Drosophila melanogaster: one gene and its partners. The protein of the gene in region 1 interacts with the protein of each later gene in a pairwise test. Each region holds a gene or a part of one and is shown in the gene's direction. Other genes may lie near its edges. The genes, in order: Lim3, CG32137, Nup133 and CG12496.

What was found.
Region 2: the proteins of Lim3 (region 1) and CG32137 interact in a two-hybrid assay, tested with the Drosophila melanogaster proteins (one large-scale study listed by BioGRID).
Region 3: the proteins of Lim3 (region 1) and Nup133 interact in a two-hybrid assay, tested with the Drosophila melanogaster proteins (one large-scale study listed by BioGRID).
Region 4: the proteins of Lim3 (region 1) and CG12496 interact in a two-hybrid assay, tested with the Drosophila melanogaster proteins (one large-scale study listed by BioGRID).

What each region holds. Positions count from the first base shown.
Region 1 is NT_033779.5:19,103,467-19,111,352, reverse strand, and holds the start of Lim3 (Lim3), read left to right. Parts: upstream 1-2,925; 5' UTR 2,926-3,966; intron 3,967-5,077; exon of another isoform or gene 5,078-5,187; 5' UTR 5,188-5,281; coding exon 5,282-5,630; intron 5,631-7,886.
Region 2 is NT_037436.4:13,935,925-13,943,983, forward strand, and holds the start of CG32137 (uncharacterized protein), read left to right. Parts: upstream 1-3,325; 5' UTR 3,326-3,534; intron 3,535-4,745; 5' UTR 4,746-5,101; coding exon 5,102-5,551; intron 5,552-8,059. UniProt on the Drosophila melanogaster protein: Functions redundantly with BicD. Involved in formation and/or development of mechanosensory organs during metamorphosis.
Region 3 is NT_033777.3:22,686,888-22,695,272, forward strand, and holds Nup133 (nucleoporin 133kD), read left to right. Parts: upstream 1-3,719; 5' UTR 3,720-3,812; coding exon 3,813-3,988; intron 3,989-4,043; coding exon 4,044-4,218; intron 4,219-4,278; coding exon 4,279-4,782; intron 4,783-4,833; coding exon 4,834-5,146; intron 5,147-5,201; coding exon 5,202-6,040; intron 6,041-6,110; coding exon 6,111-6,789; intron 6,790-6,859; coding exon 6,860-7,401; intron 7,402-7,464; coding exon 7,465-7,839; 3' UTR 7,840-7,885; downstream 7,886-8,385. Other genes in the region: CG17625 (uncharacterized protein), read left to right, coding at 17-445; wfs1 (wolfram syndrome 1), read right to left, coding at 680-1,513, 1,566-3,130, 3,188-3,286, 3,346-3,409; cd (cardinal), read left to right, coding at 8,140-8,306. UniProt on the Drosophila melanogaster protein: Probable component of the nuclear pore complex (NPC). Plays a role in NPC assembly and/or maintenance.
Region 4 is NC_004354.4:2,407,202-2,414,338, reverse strand, and holds CG12496 (uncharacterized protein), read left to right. Parts: upstream 1-3,437; 5' UTR 3,438-3,542; coding exon 3,543-4,604; 3' UTR 4,605-4,974; downstream 4,975-7,137.

The sequences.
Region 1 (7,886 bases):
CTTGGCAATTTTCTTAATCGTTGAGTGCCTATCTCCTGAGCATATTTATCGCATAGTTCTTTGAATCGATAAGGATTTCTCAAGTGTTGCGTTGATTTGGCCAAAAGATTTTGTTACCAACGACACTCGAACAATAGCTGGTGGGAAATCACTTTGGGTCACAAACTGTTCCCACTTTTTTGTTGGTCGGTTGGCGCTCTCTTAGCCCCTCTCTCTTAGGCAAATTGATGACAGAAATTATAGTTTTAAAACCAATTGATTATTGTTGGTTGTTATTGTTGTTGACTCTAATGAACAATAATTGTAAATTCACGTGTGAATAATTTAAGGCTCTTAAAATGAAACTCTTTCAAATTTGTCTCTTTATCACAATAAAAAGTAAAAAAGTTCAGTATTAATAGTTTTTAATATATAACGATCATAAGCTAATCAAACGTGTATATTCGCTATATTTATCCGAATTTAATTATCATGGCAACACTTTTCAGATACAATTAGTTTTTTTAAGTAATTATATGAAATTTAAGTTTTAACTGACCTTTTTTTTTATATCATTTTTCTAAGAAAACACAATGAAGAAAGTTGCTTATGATTGTTCTTCCACATTAATTCATTCACATTCACGCACGTATTTAATATGAATATTCATTTAAAAAAAGGAGAATCTGCTGGATTTTTTCACCATTTACATATGTATATAGCTTACCCAACTGAATCCAAGGACTCCGATGCCCGCGATCAGCAGCTCACCGATGATGGAGCCCGCCGACGAGGATGACGGATAGAAGGCATTGAAGTAGGGCGATTGCCAGTGGGTCAGACCCGGCAGGATGATGTTCTCCAGATCCTTGAGGACCTCGCGCCAATGATCGGGCTGCTCGGGAATCTCCTTGGGCAGCTGATTGATCACCGCATATGGAGCCGTGCTGGGCAGGACATCCCTGTTGGAAGAAACACAGAATTTAGAGGCATCGCTCCAAGGATAAAAGTCCAGACACACACCTCTCACGTATGCCGCTCAGATAGTTGATAAGGAACTCGATGGAGGCATGGCCAAATTCACGGAACTCATCAAAGTCCATGATCCTGGTTAATCCAAAAAAAAAGGCGCGATTTACTTTGGGGGGGAATTTGGGTATTTAGCCGCTCCGCTGGTTCCGCACTTGTTCACCGCTGACATTCGAATCTACAAATGAGCTGGCTGCGCTTTAACCAAGTCTCAATGAGCTCCGAATCTCGAGACCCTCCAATAAAAAGTTTGGGGGGGAACTCCAACAACGTTAACAAAAATCCGGCTATGTGTGAAAATGTGCAGTGGCAGCAAGTTTTTTGTCTTTCTGACTGGCCCATTGCCGAGATTTATGTTTATGTAACTACCAAAAGACACAATAGCGAAAACAAGATCGCCGGACAAAAGTTAAAAATGTCGGTGAAGAAAATTTAAACAAACTGCTTGTTAATTGTCTATTAAAATGTGTTATCCAAACACTAGCACTGCTGCTTACTAAATCTCCGCCATCCCCCCCAAAACCCACTGCCGATCCGGTTCCATATCATCACATCATCAGCAATTAACCGTCCCAAGTCGAGCCCATTTGGCAAAATACTTCATGTGTCTAACCATTAACGGCTCCATTAGACAGACGTCTGCGACAAAAGCGTTGGAAAATTTGAAAGTCAAAGTCGATTTGGTAACCGCGGAAGTGAAGCTCCGCCTGGGATGCCATAGATTGGGATCGCGTTGGATTGAGTGCATCGGTTTCATCAGCCATTTCCATTTCCATTTCCATTCACGATCAGTTTCAGTTTCAGGGTCACGCTGCATTTTTATGCTCTTACCCTATATTTTTTTATAATCGGTACTAGTTGGGTTCAAGGGTATGCCGTGTTTTCGTGTTGTTCCGCACGCGTAACGAAAGCCCAATAAGAAAATGCTGAATGTTTAATAAAGGAAATATGTAATATAGTTTATACAGTTTATAGTTTAGCTTCTGTGTAATAGTATCCAATATATATTACAGGCAAGCTGTAAATGATGATGATACAAAAGTCTTAGTATAAGTATGAAGTAATACATTTTACAGCATAAGATGGAATCATGTTTTTTTCTAATATTTATACGTACTTTGTATCTGGCATTTTATGCAGACTTTCTCAGACCGGGCATACTTTTCGAGCGACCCACGCACTCCAGCTGTTCGCGTTCCTTGCTCCGCCGCAGCGCGGAACCCAACCCACAAACGACCTTCCCTGCTAGTGTCCACTTCGGTGGGTGGGCGGAGGTCATCCGTTGGGAGCGGGGGCGTGGGGTTCTCGAGCATGGCGTTGGGGTTCAAAGTGTTTGGCAAAGTATTTGGCGCGCTCTAAGCGGCTCATAAATAAATGCGAAAACAAAATCGTTTTTGCAGACGCAACGCATTTAAGGGGTTTTCGGGACGGGTGGCAAGTATCCACTATAGATATAGGGGTTCCGAAACTACACAGACAGCGAGAATCCTATGCAGATACAGCGAACTCATGGGCAACGGGTGACTCGGGCATGGAGTAGCAACTTCCCCCCTCTCCCATCACCCTGCCAGCTTTGGGTTTTCGAGTGCGCCGGCGCTGGAACGACATCGAACTCTAGGAATAGAAGCGTATGGCCACCCCAGCCCCATTTTAATGGCGACGCTGGGGCGATAAGATAATGGCCACTGCCTGCGCATGCCTGGAAGTTCTTGTTGCTTTTGGACTCTATCGTCGGCCGATTTCCAGCGATTTTCAATATAAAGGGGCGGTGCCTGTTTTCCAGTGGAGACCCCGCATTTTTGGTGACCGCGCGCCGCGTATTGACTTGGACCTTTGAGTTAAGTTTCTCATATTTGTTTCGCCTCAGTCGACGTCGCTGCTGACTTTTAAGTGCTGTTTACTGTTGTTTTGGGGCCAACGAAGGTGTCGCGCTCGACGTTGGTTGGCTTTTTGTTCTACCCACTGTGCTGTTTTCCTTTTTTCATTTTTTTTTTGCCCCTGCACTTTTGCAGCTCAAGCTTCTTGAGGCAGAGGGAAACAAAAAAAAGTTTCCACACCTTCTTTTTTCGACGAGGCTAAAGTTTTTGCGTTTTACAAATATTGTAATGCTCTTGGAATTTGGACTTTTCGGGCAAATGGGCATCGCCAGAGAGCGACACACACATGCGCACGGCCTCCAAAAAGAAGCACAAAAATGTTGTCGCTGCTGGCGTTGTCGCCTCGCCGCCTTGTTGCCATTGTTGTCCTGCCATTCAGGGCTGGCTGTATGCATTTTACCATATCATTTGTGTCACATTAGGATCAATTGGTAAACACACGCCCGCACACCCGCACACACCCACAGATAGTACGTATACGCACGGCGTACCCATGTGGGCGGCCAAAAGGCAAACGGCAAACGGCACACGAATACAAGACGAAAGGCAAAAAACAAAAAAAAAAAAAAAAAAAAACAACAGCGTTAAAAGCTCGCACAGTCGAGAAAAAGCGTGAAAAAGTGCGCAAAGTAAAAAGGAGAGACGACAGTTTGGACGGCCAAGAAAATAAATAAAGATGCAGCGCGGCAAATAGAGGGGATTCCCACCAGCAACAATACCAGCCGCCTGCCAGTGTTGCCGCGTCCAGGGTTGCCGCCGTACCGTTACCGACACCGTTACCGTTTCCAGACCGTTACCTTACCGTTGGGCAAACACCGTTAGCCATGCCGCCGCCATTTTGTCGCACTGGCTTCGCATTTGCCGTCGTCGTTTTCGCTGCCGAATCCGTTACCGTTACCGTTAAAGTTGCCGATGCCGTCGCCAAAATGGCGTTCGCATAAAATCGCGTTCAAGTGCCGCAGAAAATTCAAACGAAATAATACGAAATGTTGAAATAAGAAAATTAAAAACCAGCCAATAATTAACAAAGTTAACAAATACTAGAGTTGAGTGTTAAAGTGACGCAAAAAATTTTAATAGGGTAAATGCAAATCATTTCCACTGGTTTTACGATTCCGTCGCATAACGAAAGGCTCAATAAAAAGGCTAAAATTCTGAGGAACTATTGAAAAGAAAGCCAGCTTGATTAAAAAATGGAATGTTACATTTTAACAGTAGATCCTTAAAACAAAAAAGTCTATTGAGCAAATTGTGTTGAGAAGAGTTACAAAACCAAGATACGTTTAGGATTTTAAAATGTTTAGTATATGAATTTTAATACTAACACGATTGGATTTTGTTTGTTTTAAGATTTAAGGCAATCAAAATAAGATTAATGTGCGATTTCCAACTCCCGATGTTAGCCATTTTAATTTCAATTTAATCTTAGGAGCTTTGCTCCTAAAATTAAATTTCTATAAAATAAATTTCATAGTATTTTGTTTCATTTATATATGATCTTCAATCTTAACTAGTTTCCAAATACTGAAGAACTATTAAATGGAAATTTCCGATTAATTATTCTACGTTTTAATATTTCACAAAAAATAAATTGTTTACCTATTTTGTTTGTTTGAATTTCTATAAAATAAATTATCTTCAATCTTAACTAGTTTTCAAATACTGATAAACTATTAAATGGATATTTGCTATCAAATATTCTACGTTATAATATTTCACAAAAATTTTTTTTAACTATTTTGTTTGATTTGGGAACCATTAGCAGTTCGTTTTTGATAAAAAAACCTTGGACATTGACCGTTTTTTGATAGATAGTATAGTGCACATCCGATTTGTTGTCTTCGCACGAGAATTCTCCTCGTGATAGACGATGAATAGATATGCGCCAAACGGTCTTTTGAATATCTACCGATCAGTTTGGCCCTATCCTCGGCTTACATAAAGTTTACCCGCCTTGCACTTGGTCGAAAGCACCCGAACAATAGATGGTCTAGTGTGCCCCGGTATCGCAAACAAATTCAAATTGTTCAAGTCCCTGGCTACTTCAACTGATAGAGCAGCCGAGCACTGAGCACGAGCCCAACCGAGTGGCAAGACTGGAATCTAGATTCTACCGTAGAAACCGAAACCCAAAGAGACCGCCGCGATAAGGGAAAAACAGTCAACCGGGCCACTGTTGGGCACAAACCAATGCCAGTTATCGAGCAGACAGCGATCCCGCCTAGCGGAGTCTCGTTTAGACGCTAAACGGGAAACGAGTGCGGTAAACTAACACAAAGATTGCTTTTTAAACACCAAACAGGGCTAAAGATACAAACGTGTGCCAATTGGAATAAGCTAACTGAAATATACATATAACTCATACGACGCGTGTTCAAATCGCCGGCCCCTCAGCAATGATGCAAACCCTGAAACCACCGCCACCGCTACATCATCACCACCAGCATCAGCACCAGCTCCAGCATCCGCCTCAGCAGCAGCCACATCCGCATCAGCAGCTGCAACATCCGTTGCAGCAGCAACAGCACCTGTCAGCCATGGATAATCACCAGCAACATCAGCCGCATATCCATCAGCAGCAGCAGCAGCAGCAACAATTGCCACCCACGCCGCAGGCATCTCACCTGGTCGGTGGGCAGCAACAGCAGCAGCAACATCCGCACCACAATCACCTGGCTGTCGACCAGGATGACCCAAATCCCGAACTGGTGCTCGCCTTAATTTCCAGGAACCGGGCGCTCGAGGGTAAGTGGCCAAGTCATGCCATCTTTGATTCAGTCCTGTCCATCTGAAGGCTGCCTAGGAGATTTTCCTGCACAGTGAACAAAAATGTTTGCCAAGAATAGTATATTATTAAAATGTTTGGTTTTCAAACTTAGATTACATTTTTGAATTTTATTTATCAATTTATCAATTTTTGAAATGAAAGAGAGAATAGTCGTATTTACATTAAAAAATATCGTGGTTTCTTAATTTTGCTTTAGTAAATATTGAGAATACAGTTTTCATGTTAAAACCGTATATTTCACTTCTGCTGTAAGTTAACCCTTTGAATACACTTTGCCCATGTGTTGGCCGCGCCTTAATTATGCAAAGTTTTTGTTTGCGCTCGCCCTTTGTTTTTATGAGCGACCAGAAAGGTCTTGTGATGAAGATGAGTTGGGGTTATGAGGTCGGTCTTTTAGGGTCACATAAGAGCCTTGCGGTTGGCCTGGCTTTGGCTTTGGCTCCTCCGAACTGGGGCTTAAGTGTTTTTCAATTAAATACGAAAGCTTTCCCGGTGGCAGACCACCATCTTCACATCTCCACATCTCCACATCTCCGAGCAGCTCATTTCGAATGCCCTTTTAGGAGGGCTCAGTGTTGCGGCTGCTCGGTTGGACCGCCTGCTTTTTTATGCACTCCGCCACGGAATAAATGTATGGTCCGAGGGGACTTCCTGCAATATATATAACTGGCAAAGTTCCGGCAGAAAGTTTTCTTTGAGGATATATGCATGGTGAATGGCTCCGAAGGAGATGATTTATTGCTGCTTGAGATGGCTCAAGGATGGTCAAAGGGATTTCTTTGTGCGAGTTGCTTATGATCCAGGCCTGTCACATTTATGATTTCGTTTCATACATGTGCCGCACTCGAAAATCCCACGCCAAATCAATCGGCAATCCCCGGACTAAAAGCCAGCCCAGAAAGTTGACAACTGACTGCGGATTGGAGTCGAGTCGAGTCGCGTCGAGTCGCGTTGAGTCGCGTCGAGAGTGGAGAAGATGACATCGGACAGGGACACGCGCCGCTGATGAGAACAAAGCCGTAACCAAATCCAATGCGAAACTGTTGACAAACTCCAAATGTCTCCGGCATTGTTGCTAATGCGCTGGGAATACCCGGTCACCAGTGGAGGCGGTCGTCCACTGCACGTGTGTTCCCGGCCGAAGTTTTCGGGCATTGAAAAGAGCAGGCTCAGCCGTTTAGCCATTTTCCCGGCTTCAAGTGCGGCGGGATTTCGTTTTTAGAACACGCGTAATTACAAACAAATAAATATAGATTCCTGGGTGGAAAGGAGGGGGGGGGGGGACGGATCCGGGAAACCGCATGTGCTGGGACCTGCGGATCGCCTTGGTCGAGCCTTCGCCACGTGTCACTAATATCCACTGCATCCCTGACAAAGTGCGTGCACTTTGGAAAAATCCAGTAAGTCGGGAATGACTTATCCCGTTTTTGGTAGAGGTCCAATTTGAAGCGGAACGGAAAATCTAAGGTATTCTTAGTATAATATATTATTATAATATCAGTATGATATCTTAAACACCTTAACCAACCTGAACTTTAATCATGATTAAATCTGGGCACATTTCAAGGGAAAGGATTGGAGTTCTGGTTGACTACACACTTCATGAAACTGGAAGTTTTAGTAATGTTGAATCTTGTTTCTAACCTTCATGTTTCATTTACTGCTCTTTTGTTGCAGTGTAGTTGTGTACTTTTCTCGCAGTGTAGCTGGGCTGGGCTTAGCTGGTGTAGCATGGCAGTTCGTCGGTGTCCCAAAGGACTCGAGTGACGTGTGCCGGGCGATGTGCAAAACGAGCAGAAAAATTGAATTATGCGCTTGCGGTGCTTCTTTCGAACCCATGGAACCCCTGGAACCCCTGAAAACCCTGGAGCTGCCTCTGCCTTTAGAGCCTGCCCTACCCCGAAGCCAAAGTCCGCCCATCACCCCGCCCATCACTCGTTTCGGGCAATCGACAAATATTTTGTTATTTGCACATAAACATATTTATCGAGTTTGGGTTTGGTTTTCCTTTCGCTTGTTTCAAGTGCGTACGCGCACCAGAAAAGCGAAGAAATGGGAAAACTGCGGGGAGGGTGTGGTGGAGGGAGAGGGGGAAGGGGTGAAGGGTACGACTGTACCCACGGGTGTTTTGTTTCACCCGTTCGCCCGTCAAAAATTGTGTAAATATGTTTATCATTTCCACTTGCCCGGCGCACTTAGTGCTCGGCAAACAG
Region 2 (8,059 bases), on another chromosome or scaffold:
CTCACGCCCAGCTTTCGGCCAGCATTTGACCTTTTTACGGTAGTTTGTTTATGGCCTGGCACTGGGTTTTGTAATACGGTTGCTGTTTACCTTTTCGGCCATAACACTTTTTTTTCTTTTTTTAAAGTGGGCTCGAGCGCAACAGGCGGCTTTAAGCCGGACTTCTCGCTCTGCTTGCAGCGACCGCCAAAGTGACAGATCCTTCACCAAATCACCAGAGTTCACCACTGTCACTGACACACATATCTGGTAACATACCTATTCTTCTCCAGCTCCAGTTCCAGTTCCACATCCAGTTTCAGTTCTTTTTGTCGCCGCAGAAACCAAAACTTTTGACCATAAAACGCCCGGTAATGCCCCAACTTGTTGCCGTTGACTCATGCCGAGCGCTAAAAACAACATAATTATTGTACATATTAAAGACTTGATGTATGTGCGCACCAAATTGTGGACTAAACGACATGTGGTATACCCTAAAAAAAAAACAGATTAATTCATTAGGAATTTACTCGTAATCATTATTCATATAACGTATGAAACGTAGAACGTATGCATGTTGTATAAACCAGAGATTCCTCTAATGGTATGATATATGATGGTATATATATGGTATATGATATATGTTTACTCCCTTATCGAACAGATATGTTAAAGCTATCAAACTGATAAGTATATTAAAACTGATAAATATTTCAAGGTGCATAAATCGATTGAATTGTTTATATTAGCCTAACTACGATGGCTTGACCAAAATCACTAATAATTAAATGAAATTATAAATTGATTAAATTCGAATACAGTTCTCGAGGTTTGTTTTTCATTCGCTGTAATCCTTCAAGTGTAACAAACTCCATGGCCAAGTGGAATTTCTATGTTATTTCTGATTTGCTTGGAAAAAAAAGTGACACCAACATGCCAGAAAAGTTAATCAACCTCCCATAAGAACAACGCAAAATAAAAAGAAGCAGAAGTAATTAAACAAAAAAAAAAAAACTGCGATACAATGCAGAGCAAGAGCAAGACCGAAACCAGTTTAGGTGGGCTAGGTGGCTATGCTATGGTACGGATCGGTATGGTAGCCGTGCCCCAAGATGGATGAATGGATGGCTGGAGTGCCGAGCTCAACAAGAGCGAGAGTGTAAGACAATAAGGCAGCTCAAGAACACTTGATTGCAGGTGAACTGCAGCATGGAAACCGGAGATGAACAGAGCCACGAAGAATTCCAACCAGATGCCCCACAAATGTTCAAAGGAAGACACGCCACTAACCCTTCCTCATTAGGCAGTGCGGCAAAGTTATAGTTATAGATCGATCTGCGCCGGAAGCACGGAAGTTTCACTCACTGGCCAGCGAAAATCAAGTAAAACACAAAAAAGTTAGTTACGCCTGGTTAGGCCATCATCCGAAAGCTCAATTTGGTAAATGGCCAAACAGTAGCCCATACAGTAGCCCAACATAAACAAGCGGCCACGCAACATCAACATTATGGATGGATCTGAAGGCGGAGACGGTGATGGTGATGGCGTTGGCCACCAAGAACAATGGTCTGGTGTCGGTCTGAAGCTCATCTTCATCTTCACTTGGCCCGGCCACTTGAGTGTCTTATTGTGCATGTTGTTTGAGAAGTTTGGCGCTGGGCGGTGAGGAGCCGGCATGACTCTGGTTTAGTACCACGCACTAGACGGTCTGACCATGTCTACGGCCCCCTCTTTAGAAATCTTCCTCACTTGGATGCACTGGAAACATTGGGGTCACATACTTGTACCTATTTTCATTTTCAAAAGCAGAATGTGCTAGAAGTATGATTATAGGGTATGTGATAGAATATTTCATTTTCATAACTGATTTTCAGTAATTAGTACTGATCTCTAAATAAATTTTAAAGATACATTTACTTTGAGCTGTATAATATATAGATTAAATTCAGATGTTAATGAAACAATTTGAATATTTTTTACAGCTTGTAATTACTTCCTTCCGGAGCACTTTAGCTTTTTAACATAGACCATGTCTACGGCCCCCTCTTTAGAAATCTTCCTCACTTGGATGCACTGGAAACATTGGGGTCACATACTTGTACCTATTTTCATTTTCAAAAGCAGAATGTGCTAGAAGTATGATTATAGGGTATGTGATAGAATATTTCATTTTCATAACTGATTTTCAGTAATTAGTACTGATCTCTAAATAAATTTTAAAGATACATTTACTTTGAGCTGTATAATATATAGATTAAATTCAGATGTTAATGAAACAATTTGAATATTTTTTACAGCTTGTAATTACTTCCTTCCGGAGCACTTTAGCTTTTTAACATAATTTCGATGCCTAGAGCAAAATGACCGCGAATCTAAAAATTTGAAGAAATAAAGTTCCTGCAAACATATACCCATTAATTGCTTAGTGTATACCCATTGTTATTGCCATTCTTGGGTGCCCATTGTTTGTGTTCTTGTCGTATGTAAATTTTGCATTGAAATGTGTACGCTTGGGTACATGTGTGTATGCACGTCGTGGTTTTTGGAGGTCCAGGTCTCTGGCCCTCCTCCCTTTTGGCCACGCTCCCCAGTGCCCCCCTGCCCCATTCGAAACGTCACTCCGTTTCATTATTGTTCACTTGGCCGCTTTCGTAAGTCGGGCCCAATGCAAAACAAACGGCGAAGAGCAGTCAAGAGAGTAGAGCCGAATCAACCATATGTCAGTTAAAAGGGAAGGAAGTCGGAGCAAAAGAGCGCCAAGTGAAGCTTACCTTTGGAGCTGTGTTTTGGTTTTACCAGGGTTGCCAGGTAAGAAGCGATTTCATGAAAAATTCATCCACAATGCTAAGGCTTAAATTATTTCCTTGTAGATTTTAGATCTACATTTTTAAAGTAAGATTACTGCAAAATCTCTGTCCAAAATAATCCAAGTAATCATGACATTTTATTTTTAGGTTTGGCTATCGAGATTTGCCTAATACGATATGCCTATCAGTAGCTGAACAGAAAACCAGTTTTCCAAATGTTTATTGACTTAAAGAAGATATCTTAGGCCATAAATAGTCTATTATCAGTTATCTGCGTCCTAAATTGCAATTTGCTATCTTAGTTGCTTTGTAACCAATAATATTACTCGACTGCGATTATCGCCCCTGCTTCGTTGCTATTATTCGACAACCCTGGTGGAACACTGGTAACTCTCTTTGTTAACCGCCACCTAAGAGAGCCAACCGATGTTGTTGGTTGTTGTTGCCAAGATACGAGGCTTAGCCAGTCGTTCGTCGTCGTCGTCGCTTGGTTACTCATTTGTTTTGCCAATTTTCGTAGCACGGCGGCCTCAGCGCCATTCAGTTAGTAACGAACGTTCGCGCCAGACACACGTATCCGCCACGCCCCCGCGAAGCCGCCCTCTGAAAAGCTGGGGAAAGCCAGAAAATCGTAACCGAAGCGAAGCGAGCGCGCGTTGTACGGCATCGGAGAATCCGAAAATCGGAGAATCGGACATCGGACATCGGAAGTTCTGCTTTGGAGTGGAGCAGCGTCGTCGTGACCGAGGTTTCTGCCCTCATACATATACGGATATAGTTAGCTATATATATATATATACAAATAGTTTAAAAGATATATAGGGCCAGACTGTAGCGCGCTTGCGAAAGTGGAAAGTATCTGCTGGATACTTTGGATACTTTCCGTTTTGGGGGAATTAATTAGACCAATATATCCCATGCAATCCGCGCGTTATTTTTGTTGTTTTGTCAATAATAATGCCAAACTCTGGCCAAAAACGGCATATATAAGCGGAAATGCAAAACAATAATACCAACAATTTGAGCCAAATCGGTTGTGTATTTGTGAACTGTGCTGTCTGTGCTGCTTCCAAAAAAAAAATCAAAATAAAACGAATAAAATAAAATAAACACAAAGCGCACATAAATAACAAAATAAGTGTTGGCTAAAAGCTTAGCCTGAAGCGTATTATACATTTTAACAACAGTTGCTGTTGCTACCAAAAGCAGCTAAGCGTGAAGTGCTTGCCAAATGAATTTTCTATATAACAAATGAAAACGGCTAAAAAATATATATAAGTTTAAAAAAACCGGACCAAATTTTAAACGAGATCTGTGGACTTTGAGAGATTCTAGCCACCTTCGTTTGGCTCTATTGTTGTGTTTAGTTGGCCGATAATGTTTTAAAAATCATTTAACATTAATTGTATATATATTTGGGTATTTCGAAATTTAAACCTAGAGCGGAGACTCATACTAAACTCATTGGTACATCCTCGCTAACTAAAGCAACCTCTGTAAATAAACTTTTAATACCCTTAAATTTAATGGAACTACTACTGAAGTTCTTTTTGGATAATCTGCCTTAACAGCCTTATAAATATCCACCCACCTGTATAAATCCACGCATGTCAATACGCCCCCCAATCCGCAAGAAACTTAAACCCTATTTGATATCCAAGCCGCATGAAGCTTAACTAAAGACTAACTTAACCCTCTTGCTTAACACTGTAGTTATATGTTATCCCCCCCCCCCTGCCCAAAACACCCCTGACCCTAGCAAAACCAAAAACCGAAAAAAAGCCCCAATAACAAGTAACTAAAAACGTGCTGGCAAACGCTCAACGTGACCGTCGCTCCTTTTGGCCAACGATTAGACCCGTCTTGGCGGGCATACATATATATATATACCACATTTAATGCTAATTCTCATTACGGCTGTGTACTTATACTTATATATCTAACCGAAATCAACTGCAGCTCAAACACATCAGTCGCTTTAACCACGGGTCTGCTCTCTTTTGGGAGCAGCTGGTGTCCATGGAACTATGCTCGGATATATCATCGTATCGCCGCGCCAGCTAATGCTAATCCTACGACCAGATCAGAGCCATCTGAACACCTAACCAACGATAAACCCAACTACCAAAATTGTGATCTCTGCATCGCACTAAAACCTAAACTGATATTAATTGCATCCAACTTACTGTGCGTGTGTGTGTGTGTGTTATGTCTGTAAATTTGGTTCGTTGCTATTATCCGTACCCGTAATATCACGTACACACCATACCACACCTACCCGCCTGAAATAAGTCCAAGCCTGCCCGCTAACGATCATGCATAAACCAAAGCTAGCGAATGCTATAACCGCTGCCGCCATTGCCTCATCCATATCCACCAAAAACAACAACAACAACAGCATCGTCGGCGGCAGCAGCAGCAGCAGCTCCGGTGGCAACAAATCGAAGCGACCACGTCAGTTTGGCCAATACTCGATCGGAGTTGGAACTGGAGCTGGAGCTGGGGGGCTACTCCGGTCGGACGACTCCGGCTTCGACCACCTCGACTATTCGTCACTAATTGGGGATTCGATTGATTTAGAGCACTACATCAGCGCCATGGAGGCACGTCGACACGACCAGGAGCCGGATGTTTGGGCCCAGCTGCAGCAGAAGGAGTCGGACATCCTATTGGCCGCCGAACTGGGCAAGGCACTGCTCGAGAAGAACGAGGAGCTGGTCAAACAGCAGGAAAAGCTCATCGAGGACTATTCGAGCAAAATTGAGGTGAGTCATGAAACACATATAAAGTTAACAGGTGGAATTGCCATTATAAATGGCAAACAATTGAAATGGAAGTCAGTTATTTGGGGGAAAGGAAAATTGGTTAGAATTAAAAGAAATTTAGGAAGAGGACATATAGCTTGGAAGGTACTTTAGTGACTTAAAAGATAGGCAATGCATATTATACTTTAATACACTTACAATTTAAAAGATCATAGAGATGATAGTTATGTATCTCTTGAATATGGTTAAGCAGCAATTTAAAGAATTGGGAAATGAAAAAATTAATTTTTGTTATGTTTTCTAAATGAATGGAAGAGATCTAAGCACTCTTTATTATTAGTTTAATGATATCTTGCTTATTGAGGGAATGCTTTCATGTTCTTTTATCTCTATTCTCTATCTGATTTACTAAAGTGTGAGCAATAAACAAAATAATCACTTTGCTTCTATCTCTATATTAGCTACCAATTGTGTGAAACCAACATTTGTAAATTCAGACCCATTTATTATTTTCCCTTTTTAAGCTCCCTACCTTTTCCTCTAATGATTTCTTGAACAATCTAATAGTTATCTCTAAATGCCGGCGCATTTATCAAATCGGCAACGGCAGTTATACCTGAGTACCAGAATTTTGATTGACTCACCTGATGATTTGCATTGATTATTGGCGGACATGTGTTCGTAAATGACCCCCTCTATTGACGCATTGCTGGCATTCCCAGGTCGGGAGAATTAAATAATACATATACAATATGGATTTTTTTCGAGAGCTGAAACACAGCACCTGTCCAATGCAGCTCTGTAAACTGAACACACAAACTCCCCAAACTGTCAACTGCAATTTATATTGTGGGGTGGGTTCTTTAACTATTTAGACAAACAAAAATGGTTACAGTCATGTCACTTTATGGACGATGACATACTGTGTGTGTGTGTGTGCGCAGTAAACTACTGAACTATATAGTGTATCACGTAAGGGTATCGATTTTTGTTCCATCACAAGTTCTACCCTACACATTTTGTATGAAATAGCTGAAGAGCTCTTCTGAAGTCTCTCTAAAAATTGGCTTTATCGAGCACTTTCCTGATAACATGGCAGGAAAAGCAAAGTCTGTTCACAACACCTCCAAATGTTTCCAAAGTCTATGTCTGCCGCCCGACCTTGAACCGCTCGAATGGGTGGTTTCTGTGTGGGTGGGTGCGGTTCGTTCGCCTGTCACCTGTTCACACACACGCACACACACACACACTACAGATACTTCCAGGTAACTGACAATAGAAGAAATAGAAGAAGATAGGTAAACATAAAACACCCGTTCCAGCAATCGCTCCAAGTGAAGTTCAAGCCGCGGCTCAAGTTCGTGGCCGTTCACATTAGCATATTGGTTGCCTCAAACTTAGTTACCTCGCTTTTCCATCCTGAACCGATAGTTAGGCTAATGTACTTTTGTTGACCGACCGGTAAACAACAATGTATTCTTATCAATTAGGCTTCAACGCCGATTAATGGCAATTCAATGCACGAAAAGAGAACAGGAAATGTGAGGATGGTTTGGGGACCACCTGATGGTGTGAGTAACCCAAACAGAGGACACAGCAATGCGTTGAACTTGAATAATTTCGTTGGTACATATTTTCCGTGGGTTTGGGCCATATTTACGTAGTTGGCTTAGTCACTTTAACTGGGTTTTGTATTCTCCTTTTTTTTTTTTTGCTTTTGTAGTTAAGCACGTTGAGTGACTTCATCTTCATTGAGAAATGAAAGTGCGAAGGCCAATTGCGGGGGGGCTAGTCGCGTAATATCCTGGATATTTAGTCAGATGATGTCATCGTGAAAATTTTGTACATATGTTCGAGTCTTTTTGAGTCATTTTTGATATGCAAAAACTTTTGTGCAATGAATTTTTTATTGAAAATCGAGAACAACTCCATTGCTTATTAAATTTATATGCCCTCATTGAGTTTAAAACCAAAATTATACAATATATATGTATACATTATACATTGTAAATATCAAACTAAGTTCAATAATAATAAAATGCTCTCTCTGTTCGAGTTTAGTTTTTACGTGTCTTCAAAGTCTGTGTTTTAATCCCGTAAAATTCCCATTAAAATAATAGTTTGCTTGCTCACCTCATGCATTCCATAACCATTAACAATTTAAATGAAAATCGCTTGGCACCCGAAAAAACCATTAAGTTTATTATAGAGCGCTCCAATTTAAAGCCGAAAAGTGAGAAATTCCCATGTTCCATTTTCCATTGGCCATTAAATGGAAATCGCTTTAGACTAATGAAATTGGGCCAGTCCAAAAAAAAAAGGTTAACACCTGACAGTTGAACAACGCCAATTGTCGCTTTAATTATTTGCTTGTTTCTTTTTTTAATAACAATTATTGCTTAGGGAATTCTGGCGTGGAGCTGCCGCATAAATCTCTTGAATTTTAGTCACCTTGACTTTACCTTTTAGTCTTTGTTTAGCAAAGTGACGTGAGCCACATTTTCGCTG
Region 3 (8,385 bases), on another chromosome or scaffold:
TAATAGAAGAACTAGGATGTGTGGACGGGCTGTGCGCGATTGGTTGGTGCTATTGACCATGGAGAAGTACATTGGTAAATTCCTGGAGCGGGGGTACGACAGCATTGAACGCTGCAAGCTTATTATCGTAAGCGATCTGATCATGCTGGGAGTGGATAATCCCGCTCATAGGAAGCTCCTGCTCGAGGGAGTCCGGTTCTTGGTCAACGCACCCGAGCAGTTCATCTGCAAGGAGCCGTGTGAGCTGCATGAGGAGATTGAACTGAAATTAGACCCGGATGTTGAGTTGTTTGCTTCGCTAAAGTGCCTGGAAAATGTTGATTTCCTAGAAACACCTGTTCCATATTCGCTAACATCTCCACAAAAGACGCTCACAACTCGGGACTCTTGCAAATGGAATGTCAAAGGTGTGGATCAGTTACCTTCCGATAACATATTTAACTAAATACAAACAAAGCAAAAAATAATGCGTGTGATAAGGATCTTTATATATTTTTAAGAACCAATAAAACGACAATTGAAAAGCTGTTTTACAACACTATCATAATCAACCAATATAATTTCGTAAATATTTTTCAGTTTAAATAAATACATATGTATCTATTATATTAAAGTAAAAAAAATGGGGTGAGCAGATTACAAGAAACTCATACTCCTGTGTTTTTTAATTTAATGAAAATTACTTAAACGTAATTAAAGGATTCAACAAAGCGTTCAACAAATACTTGATGCCTCTCATCAAATCTTGGAGGCGTGCATCCATGGGTGAAGCGGCCACCACTCGCTCGATGCTGGCCGTACCCAAATCCCGCGACCGGCACTCCACACACTCGATGGTTTTCAGCTTCACCTGCACGTTGTCAGCCAAAAGCCGAGAATTGTGCAGGATTCCATAGAATAGTACAACATCGCCCTCGCTTAGGAGCCGTGTGAAGTTCCCAAAGTCATGGTGAGCTCGTAGGATAACATCTGTGGTGGTGGAACGACCCAGTAGACGGCCACTCCTCTTGGTGCCCACCTTGACCAGCAGCTCGTACTCGTAGCGATTCCATCGCTGCAGTGTGCAACTACCGCTCTGAGCATTGAATGTCTTGAACACGCTCCGCCACTCCTCGCACTGCGCATCCAATTTGGGATCGCATTTGAAGTGCTGCGATATATTCTCGCCATGCAAGCAGCGCAGCATCCTGCCCAGCCAAACGGGCAAATAGTTCGCAATGGTATCCTCCAAAAAATTGGACACCCGCGAGATTTCCACTTTGGTGACGCTGCCCTCCCATATCACGGGCATTCCATTCAGAAGGGAGCAACGCAGCTGGGCTTTTATCTTATTCGGCTGCTCGTGGACAGGTTGAGCACAAAGTGCATGAAAGCGATCCCAGGGCAGAGTATTCGTCTCGGAAAGCGAGTGCAGACCCGCTCTGGGCATGGCATTGAAGCGCGGCGTATCCTTAAAACTCGATGTCATATAGGGTAAGACCAACAAGCACGCTGTTGTGATCGCCGTGATTAGCTGAAAAGGTATTAGTTAATATATGAACAAAACCTTACCATATTACACTTACCTGCAGCATTGTAATGTATTTCTGGGTAGCTCGGTTAAGCGCCAAAATGCAGGACAGGACCACTACCAGCCCGCAGGCGAGAGCTGTGCTGCCCCACCGAAGCTGCTCACTAGCCAGTCCTAAACTATCGATGGCCACGAAGACAGGCACCAGAAGTGCCACGATTCCGAACAGAGGCAGGAACAGGACGATTCCAGCCAAGCCGAGGGCTGCTCGCATCACTCCAAAAACGGTGGAACTCTGCGAGGTGGCTATGCACACTTGCAGCCAACTGAGCGTGACGCAGTGCGGGATGAGGAATGTGTAGACTCCATGCCAACGGGAGCGTTTGGCCATCATAATTAGCAGCACCGGAATAAAGAGATACAAGGCAGTGCGGCAATTCAAACAGAATTCAATGCCATTGCCAATGACAAACGATGAGAAAGTAGGTACGCGTAGGTCAAGAAAGCGCCAGCGCGTAGACACAACCTCGTCCATTTCGTACGGATATTTGGCAAGAACATTTACGGCAAAGGAAACAATCACTAGCCAGTCAGGCAGTTGGTGGGAGGAGGCGTACATGGACACGCACATGGTGATGAAGGTCAAGGCTCCAGAGATTATAGTCAGCTCCGAGTGTGGCAGCCAGGCGTCTGTGACCAACGGGTAGACAATCAGGTTGCAAATGAAGGCACAAAAGAAGTACAGGTACGGCTTCATATTGTTGCGTAAAAAGCGATGCTCCGCAATGTCCGCCTCGATGTTCTGATCCCCGTAGCTCAGGAACAGTCCCGACCAGATGCGAAAGTCCACGAACTGTTGTTTGGTTTTCAGCATCTTACACGTGGCCCAGATCATGATGCCCAGACTGAGATAATAGCTGACCAGGGGCAGCATATGCCGGCTGCTCCACCAAGAGATTGCAACGAGCACGCTGCAGCGCACGCTCAGAGGGATGACGTTGGGTATGGACACAATCAAGTTAAGCAGCCGGTGGTAGAACAGGGTGAAGAAGATAAGCGGGTGGAAGATCATGCGGTAGAAGCAGGGTACATGGTCCAAGCTCCTAGGATCCGGGACGGATAATGTGAGAGCATCATTAACGCTGGGCATTTGTCCGGCACTGTAATTGGAAGCTGCCGAAACGAGGTGAGCTTCGGTGATGAGGCGGCGTCGCTCCACATTGGCTAGGTCAATGGTGGGCACATCTTCGAGCGGTTCGCACTCCGGCTCCTGCTCGCCCTCGCTGCTCGACGAGGAGCGGTCATCATCGCGTCGACGCCGCTTGCGTTGCAGATTGTAGATGCGCCGCATTTTGCGCTCCAGCTGCTTGGGCGTTATATGCTCGTTTCCATTTGATAGGCAGGCAAAAAGCTCCCGGGCTGCTTTTCTGGCAGCCCGCTCACCAGGCGTCATAGCCAGGCAGCGACGCACTTCGTCCGTATTCTCTGCCGTAATACCGCTGCCATCGTTGTAGCACTGGCGTAGCAGCTTGACTGCATCCTCGTGTCCATTGTGTGCTGCACTCACCAGCCAGTTGACGGCCTTCTGGCTCTGATTGCCTTTGGCAAGATTGGGCTCTACTGCGGACATAGCAATCTTCATTATCTTGTAATTCTCGAGCAAATCCTTACACTCACCTATGGAATTATCGAGTAACTCTTTGGCCAGATCGTATTGCATCTGGGGGCATCCCTCCTCGGCGATGTGATGCTTAAGTTTGTTCAAGGAGGCACGATCTGTAAGGGAAAACATCTTCACTTTATGAACGTGTATCAATCAAAGCTCAGAGATTTACCTTCCAGATTCCAACGCCTGCGCTTGGTGACACCTGTCGGCTCATTTTGCGTCCAGGTGGCCATCTATGTCGAGTTTTTCGCTTTGTTTACGAAAATCTATGAAATAATTCTAGTCTTGACTTAGCGATGGCATCGTGTAGAACTTGTCTTAGAGATGGACTCACAAATATTAGTTAATATAATTATTAATTTAAAAATTTGTTTACCAAAGTTTAATTATTCATCGTATATAGTATATAAAATACATTTATGTAGTATAAATAATTTCCTATATTTAAATTTGTGTTCTTTGTGTATAATGTCGTGACTTCTAATCGATAAATAACTCAAATGTACTCAGCTGTGATTTCGATATTGCGACATCAAAAATCGATTCACACACATGCCGGCTAGATTGTTTGCTGTTGCAAAAGTAGTTGTTTATTTTTGATTTATAGGCATTTCCCAAATAAGAGCCAGCACAAAAATGGAGAGAAATCTGCAGAAGCAATTATACGGCATATCGCGCGAATCTTCACCAGGTGCACGAAGGTACAGCATGCCAGCAGCCTCGGCAGACAGCACGCGTAAATCAATTTTTGGCGGCAGCGCCAGTTGCGCCCAGATGTCGGGGAGCCTCAAAAGGACTGCCCTGACCAACAGGTATGTGCTAACTTATTCTCCTGGAATTTCCCACTCATCAAACAATCCTTTTCAGCCGGCTCAGCTTGTCGGTGCGTTCCACTCAGTCCATTGCCGGCATCCGATCCGATTACAATTCGGTAGAGAGCTTCGGTTGTCCACTGCCGGTGGTGGTCAATGAGGCACTAACCTTCGCAGGTCCAGGAGCGGGCACAGTAACAGCCAAAGTGACGCAAAACGGTTGGGCTTGGGTAATATATCAGCAACTCTCATTGTATCTGGTTCAGCAATCAGTACGATTACCTTTTCAGGTTGTCCAAGGCAGACGCCTCTTGATTTGGCAGTATAAGGACACGGCCAAGTCGGGCTCGCCACCTCGTGTGGGCAAACTGGCAAGACGTGGTGGTGGTCTGGCCCAGTGCCGTGAATTGACTTTACCTTACAGTGACCTGGGTCACAAGAGTGATTTAATCAGTGTTTTCCAGACGGAGGGTCAGCAAATGGCCTCCTGCATAGCGGTATCAGCCACGGGAGAAGTTCGGTACTGGTCATCGATTGCGCACGATGGGAACTCCGTGGATCTTTCCATCTTAACTGGCCAAGAGTTTGTCCAGCTGCTCAGTCTACCAACGCAGCAGGGCTACCTAGCCGTTACAACCACCTGCAATCTGGTATTCCTGCGAGTCGGACTGACCAACGGACGTTACACACTTCACCATAAGACTATCAAGCCTGCCACTAGCTTCCTTGGTGGTTTTGGCAAAAAGTTTGCCTCCATTTTGATTGGAATGAACACGGGTGCAGACAAGGATCAAGTAAGTATCTTCGTCCAGCATGGGACAAAAATCTCATGAAGTGTTTTTTAGACTTTGGTCGGCATGTGCTGCGAGAGCAATTTAGAAAGTGGAGAAACCATTGTGGCCGTGCTCTCTGATCGTGCAATCCAGCGCTGGAGTCTGTCCAACAATGGCAACACCGAAAACCTTCTGTACGAGGATGCGGATATGTTGCGCAGGATACGCGAAGAGTTTATAACGAACTTTTGGAAGTTCCGACTCCCAGCGGATAGTTTGGAGATCGATCTCCATCTGTTGGACTTTCACGTGGTTAAGAACAAAGCTTATATACTGGCTGGAGCTGTGAATGCTGCTCACGCTCCACAAATGTGCTACGCTCTGGGTAAGAAGTATGTGACAGCAAATCTTGATATGGTATATAATGTTAAGTATTTTAGTGACTGGCACTGCTCAAGCTGAAAGAATGCTTCTGGAATCGTTCACGCCGCTCAATATGAACAAATTCTTTAGTGCCAAGACTGAGGAGGATTGCCTCAGCGTGCGTTTTGTAGTAGGCAGCAGCCACATCTATTTGTATACTTCTAAAGTTGTGTATCCTCTGCACTTGACCAACTCGGTGCCGACAGCAGAGCTAGAGGCGGAAAAGATCGAGTTCCATCAGCACGATGATCGCATTTTGAGTGCCGTCATCTGCAGCCAATTGCCATTGTTCTTTAGTCGCACACATGGCCTAGTTTCTATTACACCGGGCGATTTTGATGGTACTGAAATGATGAACATGAGCTCCTGCAACACGCCAGATTTATATGCTCCCAATTCGTGTAATGCTAGTTTCGCAGTTGCCGATCATTCTGCTTTGACTAACAGTACTAATAATCTTCACCTTTTCGAACTGGATCCGGATGAAATGTACAACGAACTAAGCGATGAAGTTGGTCAACTAAAGGCAGCGTTCCTATATCACATGAAACGCAACAGCAATATGGTCAAGACGATCGTCGATGAGCTGCTTCGTAATGTCACTGCAGCCGATCCAAGTGGTGCACCCATGGATGCTTACAAGTTGGATCGAATTGTTATTACCATCGCCGAAGACTTGGCGGAGGATATACCAATAGCCGATCCCCGATGGGAGGAGGCACTTGCAGATCAGGAAATGAATAGGCATGCCATCGGCAGCTCTCGTTCAATGCAGATTATCAACCAACTAAGGGACAAGATCATTGCTTTCCAGCACTTCATAACGTTTCTGCATTCCAGTTTAGTTTGGGACAAGGTATAAGGACAAAATATTTATTTGTTTATTTATTTGATTTTGTTAACAAAATCAATACTTTTCGTTCCAGTTAAATGTCATACCTTGCGGAAGCCATTCGCTGAAACCCACCGGCTGTATTCTAGCCGATATCAGCGAGAAGATAGTGGCTGCTATGGCTCTGCGATCCATTCAGACCAAACTGCCCAAGCTGATTGAAGAGGCTATCGATGCCACCGTAGCGTTATGGCATGAGGAGCCTCAGGGCAGCCTAACTTACCAGGATATATTTTACGTAAAGCTGTCTAGGTTTCAAAACGTGTTCGAGGCCCTGGCGGATATTGCTGACGATCGAATCGCTGCTCAGAATCAGACCACCATATCAGTGGCCCACTTTGTCAACGAGATAAACTCCATTGTCCTAGACGTTTTGGGACAAGTGTTCAAGTATCGAAAGCAGCACGCAAGCAGCTTTAGACTGAGCCACGAAAAACTACCTTCCTACGAGAATCTACCTTGGACTGCGATGGCTGGCAGTGCGGGAGTTCGTGACACGCTGACTCGCCTCATTGACATTAGCGTTCGCTATGGCAGCCACTGCGTTAGCGAGACTGAGCTAAAGCAGCAATTGTACCAACAGATATTCGAACTAATTGATTTGGTTTTGGACGGACGGAAGACTTACTTAAAAAGCGTGCGCGACACGGAAAAGTTCAATGTTCTGCAGCAGCAGTTTGAGGCTCAGCGAAGGGAACTCATCTCCGTGCTAAGTAAGTTGTGTATTCTATTCATAATTTAAAATTCTTAAATATTTCTTATGTCTTTTTTTTTATTTTGTAGTCAAAGATCGCCAATACGAGTACGCCGCAAAGATCGCCGAGAAGTACCTCGATTTTCAGAGCCTGGTGCTTATCTGCGATGAGACGCAGGACAAGGAGCGACTGGAAGATTACACCCGCAAGTACGAGGAATATGACTTCTCACAGTTTGCCATCAATTGGCATCTGCGCCAGAACCGGCACGGCGAGGTATTCGAACGCTTCAAGGGCAACCAGACGGCTTTGGCTCAGTTCATGCGTGACCATCCGTCCCTTGGGTGGATCCAGCTAATATTCAACGGCGACTTCGAGCGGGCGGCCAAGGTGCTGTACGAGTTGGCCCAATGCGAAACGGAGTTTGTGGCGCGCAAGAAGTCTATGCTGTCGCTGGCCAAATTGGCCGCCTTCGCGGCAGCCGAATCCGATTTAACTGCCCAAGTTGAAAAGATCAACGCAGATCTTACGCTGGTCGAATATCAATCGCAACTGGGCCATGACGTACTGGAAAGCTTTGGCTTCGATCCAGCAGAACAGAAGGTGCTCAAGGCAGAGGAGATTATCAGCGTAAGATTTCACAAATTAATATACTTAATTCACTTATAAATATTACCGTCTTATTATCATTAGCTTTACATCGCCGAGGAAAATGAAACTGCCAGCGAAACGGAATTCCGTAAAGCTTTGGAACTTCTGAGCTACGTGGAACAGCCGTACGACATGCGGCACAAGATCTGGTGTGCAGCTATAAAACGCGATAACTGGACGGACTACGATCCCAACAATGCGGTGCATTACATGCAGAAGTTGCTCTTTTACAAGATCATCGAAATCTCGCAGCTGATGGGCAACGATTCCGAGAACGTTTTGCCACCCATGGAAGACTTTCTGGAGAGCGTGGAGCTCGGCGATTTGCCGCAGCAGAAACCGTTTCAGTATCTGTTGAAACTGACCTATGAGTATGTGGCCGACATGTTCAAACAGCCAGACGACATGGAACTCTAATCAAGCACCTCACATGTCTTTCTATTAAAGTTTACGTTAAGAATTTAAAATGATGGCTGGTGTTCTTGGACGGTGGACAGTTGCCTGCCTTGTTGTTGCGTCGCTCAAACGCAGGCATTATAAAATATTATAAACTAAGTTGCTTTGTCACAGCCGGTCTCTGCCGGCGAAAGTATCTGAAGTGTGGCGAACGGAGAGTCGGAAGCCCACCAAGTGTGTTCGGGGCAACTCTAGAGTCGGCCTGACTGGCAGCTGTGCTGTTTGCATTTGTCGCCGGTGCGCATCAGTTTAACTTTGATTATGACGGACGAAACAACGCCGCTTACCGATGCCGTTCCCAGTGGCTCCGGATATGTTGTCCTGCCGCCGTATCAGGGACCGGAGCGTGTCTTTCCGGGTGGTGTTTCTCCGCGTGCGCGACGCAACAAGATGCGACAGTTCCAGTGCTGCATGGGCATCACCTTTATGTGAGTGTGAAACGAAGAGTTGGAACTGCGGCAAAAGAACACCTATCCTTAGAAACTATTGCTATAGGCTCTAAATTGT
Region 4 (7,137 bases), on another chromosome or scaffold:
TTTTGCCCACTTCGCATCCTTTCCCTGGCGTTCCTTTGTTGCAATTTACTTTCTGCTCCTTGGATGCAGCAGACATCTCCCGTTGCGTATCTGTATCTGTATCTGTGTATCAGGATCTCCGTCCGTGCTCGCGCTTGTATTTTTATATGTATCTGTATCTGTATCTGTATCTGCTCTTCATTATGGCATCCATTGTCTTGCGCTGTCTGCCTCAGACGCATCCTTTGGGTGTCCTTTCGTGTGTTCCAGTTTGCGCTGCCTCTTCTTTATTTTTTCAGGGTCACAATTCGAGTCTCAGTCGTCGTCCTTAGGAGAGCATCCCCCACCCCAAATGGCCAGGATCCGTTTGCGAAACTGTCTCGTATTTGACAGTTGACAGTTGGTCGACTTTTGAGTTGGAAAGTTATGAGCATAAACATGATATTTGCCAGGGGCCCGTGTTGCTATTGCCATTTGGCAATTTATCCTTTATATAGTGCCAGTCATTTTTAGTCCCCTGCCGCCAGCGAAAATGCCAGCGTAAAAGTTATGAAATCAATTAATCATTTCAGCTCATTTATGATTTAATGGCTTCACTTTTTTGTGGTTTCCGCTTAGAGTCGTAAAGCATGAAATCCCCACAACCTTTTCGCAGCGCGTTAATGAAGTCGCAAACTGGCACTTTCCTACTTTCCTACATTCCTACCGCCCAATGCATCGCATGGCAATATGCGAACTTTCCCCTTTCGCAAACACTTTCCCTCCATTATGCAAAACGCAAACAAAGCCGCGCGACAAGCATTTGATACACTTTGGGCACTTTGAATGCCATTTCAGGCGGCGCGCAGCAAATCAAATATCGATAAATTTCGCAAACAATACAAACACGGGCGCATTAATCAAATGCGGCAACAATAAAGCAGCCCTATCTGTTGGATCCAGCCAAAGTGGCCGATCTGCATGTAAGCACATATGCAAAGGCGTTCGAAGGGGAGGGTAATAGCGATCGAGCCTGCCAGAGACGTTCGAGTAGCTAATTCACACATTCAAGGGGTAAGTAAGCCTTGTCGCTCGCACTTAGCACTTGGAATGCACACACAATTGTCCAAGTAAACACGACTAACTTACAACATATGAGCTTAAAACATATATCGCAATCAATGGGCTGTTAACGTCAAGTCCTAATCTTAGGAGGTGCTACCTAGTTACTCTTCACATCTTAATGGTAAACGGGGTGAGCACGCATCTCTAGCGGATTCGCGAGTTCGCATTCGAGCATGCAAATCCCTCTGGAACCGCGGCGCAGGACCTCAGGAGCGCAGGACCTCGGGACGACGGCTGAGTGAGAGTGAAAGTCAAGTGGCTCTTGGCGACGCGCTCTCGCTCGAGCACGCGTGCAGGGGAAAGGGACGGGAGATGCAGCCCGGGCGGAGCGGTAAAAAATGCATGGGCAATTTGCATACAGCGATCGGGACTGGATCGTGACTTCGGGCTGTCCTTGAGGCAGGGTCCTTGGGCTCGTTAATTAAGCGTAAAATCGTCGCACACGAAATGCCGAAAATTCAAATTGAATTTGAGAGGTTTTCGTGTGGTTCTTTATCCATTTGTGTTTCGTTGTGTCCCAAAAAAACCGCAGAAAATGCGAGGATTATGGTAATTTTGTGTGGAAATTGCCGGTGAAGACTAGCCGGGATACGCCTTGTTAGGCAGGATGCTCGTTAAATCATATTAATCAACATGCCGGAATCCTTTCTTAGCGCTGGAAACTCTCTCAAAAACCCATTTAATCCTTTTGTGCGGCTGTGTAAACAGCAATAACTCAGCGCCACAAAGAGAATCGAAGGACTCGGGGACATAACGAGGGCAAATCGAAGGGAAAAGAGGTAAAAAGTAAGCAAAAGCAGGAGCGCATTTCGCAAAGTAAACGTTGAAAAAGAGTTGAAAAGTTGAGAAATTCGCCATTTCAGTGGATGGAACGGGGTAATCGATTAACTACCCCAGCACCCTTTTTGTGTCCCTATCCAGGATGAAAGCCGATCGGAAGATAGTCACATGAAAACATATGAAACAAAACGACTTTCACCACAAAAAAGCCGAAAAGGATAACGTGCGAAATATACGATCCCCGTTAGCGAAAATCTTTCAGCAATCGATCGCAAATAAAGATATCTCCAGGGGACCAGAACCCATTCAAAGATGCCTTTACATGCTGAACTAGATCAGAACGTCAGATAGCAAGCCACGTCGGTCACGGACACTTTGAGTGATCCAAGTCCAGGAGATGACGAGCGCCGATCACTTGAACGTCACTTAGGATCGCTGGTCGATGATCACTTGAAGATCACTCAGGGATCTCGATGATCACTTCATCTACAGCTGGTCAAGAGCCACATATGGGGGCAGTTATCTTTGATCTTGTCATCGGAAATATAATCTACTTATTGGTTCCATATTTCATATTCATATGGAGGACAGCGGCTGTGCTTTAAAATATAGATCACTACAAAGGTTATGGGAACCATTTCCTTTTACATTTACATTTCAAAGTTAAATCCATACAAGTTGTGAATTTGCATTGCATGAGGCCCATCTATTTGTAGAAAGAACACTTATTAAAAAGTTGATAATTTGATAATGCATACTGTGTACAAACTTTTCCCCTGTTGGGTGAGCAACTGACGCTTTGCACAGGACTTTTCCCAGAGTTTGTAACGTTTTTCTAATGCTTCCTTCCGGAAGTGGCAAACATTTTCAATTAAAGCCGCCGAGTATATAAATTGCATTTGCGGCCGCTAAAGAGCCGCAATTAATACTGATACCGCGCTACGACAAGTGGCTAAAATGACGAGGAGCTGTCGGCCAGGAAGTTGGACTTGGCATCGGCTAATTAGCCGGCCAACCTGACTTCCCTTCTCCCTTTTCCGTTCACTATTTTCCAGCCTGTTGCTGCTCTAAATGTCCATTCAAATGAGGGGGAGACAAGGGCGAAAGGAAGCAGACTTCCTTGAGGGGAATGAAAGCAAATTTAATAACCAAGCGCTGGCCGATAGACATCTAGATGTCATTTTCGTGTGGTGGTGCTGTGGATGAGTGCCTGGATTGGAGTGGGTGATTCTCGGCCGGTACTGCGAACTGTGGGAAAGGACGAATACCTCCAATACCTCCATCAAAATATCAGATCTCGTTGGCATAGAGATCATACTTTCATATTCTAAGCTAAGCTGCTGATATCCTCGAGCTTGTTGCTCAAGTTCCTCGAGATCCAAAGACAATTTGCTACCACACACATCCGTTGGCCAAAGAGAGTCTTTTCATCCAAGGAGAGAACGCCGGAGAGAGCGAGTGTCCTTCTGCCCGCCGGGGTGCCTCTTGCGCAACAACCCCTAGCCCCGTAACCCCTAGCCATTAACCCCTGAGCGCCGAGCGGGTATAAAACGCAGCCCGCTCCCCGTACCGCTTCAGTTTGTCAGCGAGAGCGGTCGAGAGCAGAAGACTAGCAGAGTCTAGAAGTACATCTTTTTTTTTTGTGCACCAGGAGCAGCAGAAACAGAACCACACACAACATGCTGAAGTGGACGGCATCGGCGCAGCGCCTGAACGAGATTCCCGTGCACGATCAGGATGCCAACCAGCCGCAGAGGAGGAGGCTGCAGAGGAGGCAGCGCCGTCAGCGGAGGGCCACCATTGCCAACAAGGAGAACGTGCCTGACACCGTGGGCTACACCTCCACGCCAGTGCCCATTACCCGGCTGCGCAACAGTCCCCTGGTCCTGGCGCCGCTGAGCGATATCCGGAATGTCACCCCGGAGGCGGTGGTGCGCAGTCAGGCGCCCCAAAGGGTACAGAGTGTGCGATACGCCACCACATTGCCACGTTTTGCCGAGGACTACTCGCCCAACGGACTGCCCAGTGGTCAGCACTTGGCGCTGAGGGGCCTGGCTCCGTTGGATCCCTTTCTGGGCCAGCCGCGCTATATTGTAGGCTCGGGTGCAGGAGTTAACAAACTCAAGCAGCGTAGACTGGACGAGGACTTTGTGGCCACCTTGGAGCCGGAGTTGCAGGAGACGGCAGTGCCAGAGCCACCCACCCCCAAGGTGGAAGTGCGTCCAAGCACACCGCAGCCCGCCTCCACGCAGATGGGTGATCAGACCTTGGATCGCCTAATCGATGCCATCTTGGATTCCGCCTGCAAGGCGAACGCCAGCAGCAAGAAGAAGCCGAGAAGGTCCACCTTCAATCTGCGCAGACGCACCTTGGTCAAGCAGCAAATGGAGTCGAACTGCCCCCAGGAGGTGCTGTCGCCATCCTACGCACCTGGAGACGATCCGGCCTCGGATCTGAGCTTTGGCCTGGTTCCCCTGCCCATGCACAACCTGATGCCCACTCCGGAACCGGCATCGCCCCTGGCCAAGATTCCTCACAACTTGCTTGTCCAACTGGCCACTCCAGTGGCCCCCAAGTCTGCCCCCTGCGACAACACCTTCTGCCTGGAGACTCCAGTCAAGGCCCTGAAGAGGACCCGCAAGGAGATCGTCGCCAAGGAGTCCCCCATTAAGCGCTACAAGGTCGACGAGCGCAATTACTTCGAGGTGGGATTGGCCCTGCCCTCGTCTATATATGTCTGAGCAGAGGTAATTTCAAACAGATCCTCGGAAAGCCACAAAAATGAGAAGAGAAACTAAATGCGAGATGGAGATGAAGATGGAGACGAGAAAGCGAGCAACGCTGACAAACGGGGGGAAAACGCTTAACTATGACGCTTAACTAGTTCCTAAGTCGTAAACTAATCATCTTTCAATTACTGTACATAATTTCTTAGGCCACCTTAATCACTATTTATTCCAATTACTAATATAACCATTTTTTTTTTTGCTGCTGTTATGTAGTTTTCGAATATACCTTTTTTTTCATTATTTAATTTTAAACAAATATGAATATTTATTGCTACTTTAAGTTACCCAAATAATTATTTTTTCAAAATAAAAGCATTAAATCAAAAACAATGGAGTACACTTTTCTTTTCTTTTGAAACGGGGAAAACTTTATATATCAGCTTATCATCATTAATGTCGCTTTTTTGAGTAACTTTGGCTACTTCCATGCGTACTGCCCAATATAGGGATATGGGATTGTATTGATTTCAAAATGGTGATATTTGAAAAAGACTAGACTATCTTCATAGTCTAGAAATGTTTTCTCATGTATCCATTGGAATCTACTCTTTAAATGTTAGGTTTATAGTTGGTTTCTGAACTATTTTCGAGATACGAACAAATATCATTTTTGTTGTGCCATAGCATCGCATCGAGTTTTCTGATGAATGCGAAACATCTGCGGTGACCTTCGTCACCTACGCAATATCCCAGCTCGTGCCGATTGCATTTTGACCTGCCGATACGTACAACATATATTTACACAGTTGCTTGACCAAGCGATTTGCTTTGCTTTTCCAGGCGACCAAAACAAACAACGGCGATGCAGGTTGGGAACTGGGAATAATTGAATGCCTGACAGGTACAATGGCACGCCCCGGGATCTACAATCAAGAAGAAAAGAAGAAGTCAGAGGCAGCCAACAGCTGGTCCACTCCTTGTTTCCGAGGACTCAGGACTCTGCGTCCGCTGTGCTGCTCAATTGGCTATTTTCCCATCGAACTATATGACGATATGTTATTAAATATTCATTGTGACCGCTTTTAAAGAGAACACATTTTGCGGACACTCGCTTATCATAATTTAAATCCATTTCAAAATCATATTTTACAGCAAATGAACTTTTTAAAGTCATCGAAACGAAATCAACCCCCGATTTTCGCTTTTGTCTGCGAGCTTTAGAGCTTAGAGTAATCCAACCAGAAACCGTTTTGCACATATTAGTATCCTATTAAAAAAAAATCGTAGGCACCCTTGCAGATGTCCATGTTTCGAAATCAAATTATGGAAACTGCAGTGTTCTGCTAGATCATCCGTGAAAAATCTAGCTATGTTTCCATGCTCCGACTTTTGGCACACACGTCATCTCTAATCCTTCGGCACATGACACTTGTTGGCACGTTGACGCCCTCGCACACACTTTTTGGCACTGTAACTCGATTTGAGTGCGGTATGGATAGTATCCTTTACCTATACTCATAACCATGCCAGTACCTGTCGCTGTTCCGCAGGAGCCCTACTGTAAAATCCCAAATAAGAAGACTTTACTCGTTGAGTTTTTGTAAGAAACTGATTTTATTTGGAAATATCTTTGGTTTAAATAGGTGACATGAGAATCGCATCTTAAAGTAAATGGCCTACGCAGAGGCCTAAGTAAATAGTCCCCGCCTTATCGAGGTCCCACGCTCGGGCACATCTGCCTATCTTGAGCGGCGAGGACCTTATCTGTGGTCTCCCACTAAGGGACTATTTTAGGAGGCGGGGAACGATCTCAAGTGACTGACTCATGTAGTGTGCACTTAAATTACATGTTTTTGAGCAATGCACCCATGTCGCCTTAGATAACAAAATCCTAAATATAATTTATCGCTCTCGATTCATTTACATAAGATATGAACGGAGCCCAAAATTGTAAGTCTTTAAATATATTCGTGTTCATGTGTGAACATTCTGCCAAAGGGCCAGCAAGCTGAGATGTACATTAGTATATTAGTTGCATTTATAACAGTAGTGGACTGTATTTATTTGATATATGTTCATTTATTTTGCAACTAAGATTTCAATGGGCCTAGTTTTTCTGGCTTTTAATTTTATTGGATTACAATTATGGTTTATATTATTTTTAATTCAACAATTTGTACTCAATTAACTTATTTTAAACATTTTGCTTTTTCTATGTAGAAGTACATTTTCTATTAAACAACGATATAGTGGACTGTATATTTTTATTTGTTATATTATTTTATTGTTTATTTACTATTGATATTTATAGTACTGGCAACGGACCTGCAAAGGTTATTGCTTGCATTCTTTGTTGCACAGCACATTTCCGTATGAAATATATTATTAATACTATCATTAGTATTAAAGCAATAATTAATCCAGCATGTCCGGAAATATGATGGAAATGTAAATCTTTCAATTTTTGATGGTTCTCTTTCATAAATTTAATTTCATTATTCAATCGTTCAAATTCCTCAGTATGATTTAATATTGATAGTTTCAG